2 linked regions of the Daphnia pulex genome follow. The protein of the gene in region 2 purifies or fractionates together with the protein of the main gene of each other region. This does not show direct contact. Links are inferred from orthologs where the notes say so. Each region holds a gene or a part of one and is shown on either strand. Other genes may lie near its edges.

Region 1 (2,677 bases), on a different chromosome or scaffold from region 2:
GTTTACATGGATCCAGAACAATCACATAAATGGAATCACAAGTTGTGTACAAGGTATAACCTTTCAGCAGTTTTACAAGATATTGATTCTAATAACAAATACTTACAATGCAGAAATCTCCACTATATTTGTGAACTACCATTAACAAAGGCGACTCCAGCCCAAATTTTGCAATGAATCGGCCAAAAAATATATGATTTCATAAACTTACCTTGATATAGGTGCAAAGTGCATCTCCTTTCACCTGTCCATTCTCATTTCTGTAGAGCTTTATTTTATGTTTCCCAGTTTCCAAGTCTTTTTCAATCATTCCACACTTTTGCATAAACTCAACAATTTCTTCTTCATTTATCTCAGTGGGAAGATTGGTGACATAAACTTTAGTGTTCTTGGTTTGATCAACTTCAAACCAATTTGGCTCACTGACTTGCTTTTTCTCAATTTTCGGTGGAGGTTCTACCTTTTTCTTCTCCAGTTCAGCCACTGGTTCTGTACTTGCCTCTCCACCATAACTTAACTGATATCGAGCAATAAATTCTTCATCCAACTTTGGAAACCAGGCTTTTTTTTCTTCATCCCATTCGAAAATAGTTCCATCAGAGGGATCAGTGTAGGTTTTCACTCCATCACTATTCACATGAACATGATGATTGATCACACTTTTTTTCTGTTCAAGTAATTTTTCTTCTCCGCTTTCATCTGATGAATCAAACTCTTCATCAGGATTCTTGGCAATCCTTCTGATGGTCTGTGTTTCAAGTTTAGGTTTCCACTCTTTAGCTTCAAGATCCCATTCCAAAAGTCTTCCACTTTCATCTTTATACACATAAGTATTTCCCACCCTTTCGTATTTTGCCTCGGCATTAGAATCAGCGGTAACTTGTGTCTCGATTTTAGTATTGGGCTCCCATTTCTTTTCCTCAGCATTCCACTTGTATTGATACCCCGTCGCAGGATCTGTATGGATGCAAACATCACCTTCGTACGAGTACGATGATGCATTCATTTTTAGTTGTTACGACATCCACTTCTATACGTACGATTGATACTAACTCTTAACTGTTTGTTTCCATGCGAAGGAAAAGAACAACGTTTTTTGAAACTTCAACTTCGATTTCTTTTACAAGTGGTCTGCAACTCTGCATTTTGCAAGAAAGCACATAACAGCATTGCCCTGCTGCAAAATCACTCTTTTGTCTGATTGGACTTTGGACTGTTTGGAGATAAGTCATAACTCGTAAGTCTAAAAAATGCTCAAGATAAAATAAATTGTGTGTTAATTTTTAATTTCATTTTTTTTTCTTCATTATTTAAATTAACGGTTACCGGCAGCGTTTTGTTTGGGATGCGTCATCTGTCTCTAGTCTCTCTGGTCTCTGCTTCGTGCTTACACACCCGTTGGTAGATAGAGCTCTTTTGTTTTTAATTTTCAGAAATTCGTCTGCTTAAATCATCGCATACTGAAAACGTGGCTTAACTGTTCATTTTTCTCTAGTTTAAAATGAATTCACGATGAATTCGTTACACTTGCTATGGCTGTGAACAAACAAGAAAGCGATTTCGATATTCAAGACGCTTTTGATTCATTATTAGTGTCTGAAGACAATTTAGTGGCAAAAGCTTATGAAGAAGGATTACTTCAAGGAGAAATAGCAGGATTTCAAGAAGGATTTGATTTAGGACGTCAAAAAGGCAGCGAAATTGGGTCGGAAATTTTCTTCTATCGTGGGTTTGCTAAAAGTTGGATTGCTTTGCTATCGGGTGATTTGAGTGAAGCTTTTAAACAACTACTGGAATTGTGCCCTGTGTCCTTAAATCCGGATGTTGTACATGAGATACATCAAATTGAACTGAAAAATAAAACAGAAGAGGCAGATTCAAAATCTCTCAAAGCATTGGAAAAATTGCTTACATTGCTGGAACGTTTCCCACAGGAAAATCCAAAAAATCAAGATATTGTAAGTTTACTTCAAGACATTCGTGCCAAATTCAAGCATTGCTGTGCTATCCTCAAAGTTGATGCTAGCTATTCTGCTAATAATCAACTGAACTTTTGATTTCTAAATACAATATGGGAACAAAACAAGAAACAGCTCTAGCTGCTCTAAAAACACTGTCAACATTTCTGGAGCCATTTCTTCCTATTGTAAACACACACATGGTTCACTTTTATACTGATCAAGTATTTGAAAAATTAAGTCAAGATTTGCAGTCAGATTTGATGGCACTCTCCGATACTCAGATTGCTGAGCTTCCCAACGATTATCTGAACATCAGTAAAAGCAAACCAGTTCACATTGCCTCAAATTTACTCCAGCTAATGGAAGATATTGATGAACATAATTTAGATTCTTTAAATGTTCTTGATGATCTCCCGTCAGTGTGGAAAGAGATGGATATAAAGCCCTTAACTTCGTTGATCCATTTTGATAAATTCATGACGGTGAAAAAATCTCACGAGGTTGGAGCCCTTTGCGATACGATAGCATCGTTTGCAAATTATACTGATAGCAAACTGATTGTTGATTTGGGTTGCGGAAAAGGAGCGCTAGCATCGATGCTATCACTGAATCACGGATTATACGTCTCAGGTATCGATGCTGCCGGTTTTAGCGCTCATGCAGAGGAGGGAAGACAATCTATGCTTCAAAAGACATTCAAAAGTCATGTGAAAAAA
Region 2 (4,296 bases):
AATAATATCATGTAATGAAATGTTTCAGTTTTTTCTGCATTATTGCTTTTTTCGTAAATAATGCATTCTTGCTTGTAAGAAACGGTGAAATCATAGTTCACCTTTTGCCTTTGTAATAGCGAGTCGAGATTCGAGAAACGTCTAGAAAGCCTCACGTCTGGTAAACCCCACGTGGTTTTTCTTCTTCAGAAATCTTTTGTTCACTCAGTCGATAAGATTACAACGAGTTATAAAGTTTGTAAACCTGTACAACAAAATTCTTGTTGTTATAAATTTTGTACAGAAAAAAAATAAAGAAGATTTTTTTTTTAATTCTTCAGCTTCAGGCAAAACAATTTAATTCAGGTGACAGATAGGAATGCCCTTTAAAGCCTTGAAGTAAACAGAAGCTTGACATTGAGTTCTCCAAGAGCAATTTTATCTTGTGGAATTCACATTAAGGTTTTTACTGAATTTCACCTATGGCGTGTGACTCATAACGAGATTTTGACTAAGAAATTATCATTCTTTCCTTCCAGGCTTCCAGGAAACTTGTTCGTATTTATATCGAAACAGATATTTTCCTTGAATTTAGGCCCCAACGTCGAATGCTGCAGTGCGGCATTAGACACAGGTTTACACACACCGAGTTCCTCTGTTGGGTTTCCTCTATGTCAATGGCCTAGGTTGCCGAACCCAATTCCCTTGTAGAGATCAAGGAATGAAGGTGTGTCATATCAACGTTGCGTAATTGACCTCCAATTGTTGTTATTTATTGCCATTAACCAACTCCCAACATTTTAATCGTAAATGAACTTTATGTAGTAATTATGAGTCGCAAAGGGTGTGACGATTTTAAGATGATGGTAGGCTGTGTGGTGCAAGATGGACTTCCAGCAGTCAAACTCAAACCATCTGGTTTAATTATTTTTATCACAGGTGAGTAGTGACAGGTGTCAGAACTACCAGTGCGCACAATGCACGAACCATGAAATATCTATGAACGTTTCAACACAATATAATTAATTGTTTTAAATAAAAGGCTTTGATGATGTTAGCAAACGATCAATTAATCGATTTCTAAATTAACAGATATCGGAAAAAATTAAATGAGAAAACCTGCAAGATTGTTTGCAAGTTTTGTTCAGAGGAAAACATTTTCTGTCTGCTGGTGTATATTTTATTATTTTGCTTCCTTAATCCTTATCGTTGTTTGGAAGTTGGAAACTTAAAAGATTAGCAGTTTTTACTGGCTGAAAAAAATTTTGAAAGCTATTCTTACTTTTGCTTGTGTAATAAGATGAGATTTTCAAATCAAAACTGTCAATAACAATTCAAGTAGTTAAATGTAGAAAATGCTTTTTTTGTTACATGCAAGTAAGAGTAATTCTTTTAAAATTCAACAAAGTATGTAGAAAAAATTCTACTCAAAACAAAACTGATTAATCAATGATTTTTTGTTGAAAACGATTTTCAAATTGAATCAAATTTGCGCCATCGTTATTCCGCGCAATTTTTCTTTCTTTCTCCGTGGGCGAATTGGTTGAAAAGCTTGCGGGGGTTACTTTTCCGGTCCTTTCGGCTTACTTGGAACTTGTACGTGGCCTTATTTTTCTGTATTCAATTTTGGCCAAATTAAGTAAATTATATGTTGATTTTATTGTTTAATCATAGTTATAAAATGTCTAAATTAGTGAATATTACTGTCAAGTTTTGCGAGATCGTCACTATCGCGTTTAAAATCATGACAGTGACACGTGAGTTTTCATGTGTATCTCTGCAAGCTGTTGAAGAAGGAGAAAGTAGGTCTGCAGCTATTTATTAACAGCATCTCCTTTTCTGTTGTTGATGTACAGGAAGCCTAGAAAATGGCTGCAGCCAGGAGAAAAGCCTTTGAAGAAACAGACAAGCTCACTAGGATAGCCATTATCAATGCGGATAAGTGCAAACCTAAACGTTGCCGTCAGGAATGCAAAAAGTCTTGCCCTGTGGTGCGTATGGGCAAGCTCTGCATTGAGGTAGCTCCTACCGACAGGATTGCTGTCATCTCTGAAACCCTCTGCATTGGTTGTGGTATCTGCGTCAAGGTAATTAATTTCACCCATTCCAATTAAAAATAGACTTTTAATTGCATTATCTAATTTCAGAAATGTCCCTTCGAAGCAATTACCATCATCAACTTGCCAAGTAACTTGGACTCTCAAGTTACTCATCGCTACTCTCAAAATTCATTCAAGCTCCACAGACTCCCAACTCCCCGTGCTGGTAGGCATTCACAAACAATTGCCATAAAATAAATTTATTTTTAATAATTAACTTTTATTAATTAGGTGAAGTTCTCGGTCTGGTCGGCACAAATGGTATTGGCAAATCCACTGCCCTGAAGATTTTGGCAGGAAAGTTGAAACCCAATTTAGGCCGATTCAAGGTTGAACAAACATTTACTAAACAAGCAATTGAGCCCCTTTAACGATTCAAAATCTCGTTTAATTGCACAGGATCCTCCAGAGTGGTCCGAGATTTTGACATACTTTCGCGGTTCCGAGCTCCAAAATTATTTTACCAAAGTTTTGGAGGACGACTTGAAGACGGTGATCAAACCGCAGTACGTGGACCAGATTCCCAAAGCCGTTAAAGGAAGTGTCGGTGAGATGATCAAGCGCAAAGCTGAGAGCGGAAATGAAGCTGAAATGATACGAATTCTTGGTAATAAAACAAATTACCCTTCAGCCGATTTTATTAGACTGACATCATTTTAAAATAACAGATCTTGGACACTTGACCGAAAGAAATATCGAAAATTTATCTGGTGGAGAGTTGCAGCGTTTTGCTTGCGCCACTGTCTGCATCCAAGACGCTCACGTTTACATGTTCGACGAGCCGTCGAGTTACTTGGACGTGAAACAGCGTCTGAACGCCGCCAAGGCTCTGCGTTCCCTGTTGCATCCGACCAAGTACATTGTCGTCGTCGAACACGACTTGTCGGTTCTGGACTACTTGTCCGATTTCATCTGCTGCCTCTACGGAATTCCTGGTGTCTATGGTGTGGTGACGGTCCCGTTCTCGGTCCGCGAAGGCATCAACATTTTCCTCGACGGTTACGTGCCAACGGAGAATTTGCGTTTCCGCGAGGAATCGCTCGTCTTCCGTGTGGCCGAATCGGCCACCGAGGAAGAAGTCAAGCGACTTCATCATTACGAATATCCAAACATGAGCAAAACACTCGGCGATTTCAAACTGAACGTCAACACTGGATCCTTTACCGACGCCGAAATTATCGTCCTCCTCGGCGAAAATGGAACAGGTTCGTTTTATTCACCCGTAATTTTAAGTTTCATTTCTTAATTAAAATTCTAATCAATAGGCAAGACAACCCTGATTCGGTTGATGGCTGGTTCACTGACACCGGACGCTGGATCTGGTGAAATTCCATCTCTCAACATTAGTTACAAACCGCAAAAGATTAGCCCAAAATCGCAAAGTACCGTCCGCGTTCTACTCCACGACAAAGTTCGCGATGCCTACACCCATCCGCAGGTATTTGGAAGCCCCTTGTTTTCCTTCTAAAAAGTTAAAATTAATGATTCAATTTTCTCTCAAGTTCGTGGCGGACGTGATGAAGCCGTTGAGAATTGAAGACATTATCGACCAGGAGGTTCAGAATTTGTCTGGTGGTGAACTTCAGCGTTTGGCCATCGTCTTGTGTTTGGGTAAAGCCGCCGATGTTTACCTCATCGACGAGCCGTCTGCCTATCTCGATTCCGAACAGCGTCTAGTAGCAGCCAAAGTTATTAAAAGGTTACTTTCATTCCTTCAGTTTTATCCGTGTAAATGTCATAAAATGTAAAATAATGGATTGGTGTCGGTTGACTAGATTTATTCTGCACGCCAAGAAGACGGCGTTTGTCGTCGAGCACGATTTCATCATGGCCACTTATTTGGCTGACCGCGTCATCGTTTTTGAGGGCCAACCTTCAATCGAGTCAAGAGCCAACGCTCCTCAAGCTCTTCTGCCCGGCATGAACCGCTTTCTCGAGCTGTTGGCCATTACGTTCCGCCGAGATCCCAACAACTACCGGCCACGAATCAACAAGGAGAACTCCGTCAAGGTTGGGGTTTTTTTCTTTCTATTTTTGATGTACACAAGTAACTGGATTGTGTGGCTTAAACTAAATGCAAATTTGTTCTTTTGGTGTGGTGAAAACAGGACGTGGAGCAGAAGAGATCGGGCAATTACTTTTTCTTGGAAGATTAGAAACAAGTTTGGATCCGCCACTCGGAGCTCCGTTAAATCGGATTTCTGCAGAGTTCTCTGTA

What was found. The genes of interacting proteins can lie anywhere in the genome.
Region 1: the proteins of protein Pixie-like (region 2) and protein LTO1 homolog purify together in Homo sapiens (affinity purification with mass spectrometry; 4 studies listed by BioGRID and IntAct, with this or other methods). This does not show direct contact. The link is inferred for Daphnia pulex from reciprocal best matches to the Homo sapiens genes ABCE1 and LTO1.

What each region holds. Positions count from the first base shown.
Region 1 is NC_060018.1:5,350,880-5,353,556, reverse strand, and holds protein LTO1 homolog, read left to right. Parts: upstream 1-1,532; coding exon 1,533-2,057; downstream 2,058-2,677. Other genes in the region: C-type lectin domain family 10 member A-like, read left to right, coding at 1-53, 114-177; HIV Tat-specific factor 1 homolog, read right to left, coding at 212-1,006; probable methyltransferase-like protein 25, read left to right, coding at 2,072-2,677. UniProt on the Homo sapiens protein: The complex LTO1:YAE1 functions as a target specific adapter that probably recruits apo-ABCE1 to the cytosolic iron-sulfur protein assembly (CIA) complex machinery. May be required for biogenesis of the large ribosomal subunit and initiation of translation.
Region 2 is NC_060026.1:16,235,647-16,239,942, reverse strand, and holds the start of protein Pixie-like, read left to right. Parts: upstream 1-1,454; 5' UTR 1,455-1,575; exon of another isoform or gene 1,576-1,618; intron 1,619-1,835; 5' UTR 1,836-1,847; coding exon 1,848-2,066; intron 2,067-2,126; coding exon 2,127-2,244; intron 2,245-2,309; coding exon 2,310-2,407; intron 2,408-2,477; coding exon 2,478-2,685; intron 2,686-2,746; coding exon 2,747-3,283; intron 3,284-3,343; coding exon 3,344-3,516; intron 3,517-3,580; coding exon 3,581-3,777; intron 3,778-3,853; coding exon 3,854-4,088; intron 4,089-4,186; coding exon 4,187-4,234; 3' UTR 4,235-4,296. UniProt on the Homo sapiens protein: Nucleoside-triphosphatase (NTPase) involved in ribosome recycling by mediating ribosome disassembly. Able to hydrolyze ATP, GTP, UTP and CTP. Splits ribosomes into free 60S subunits and tRNA- and mRNA-bound 40S subunits.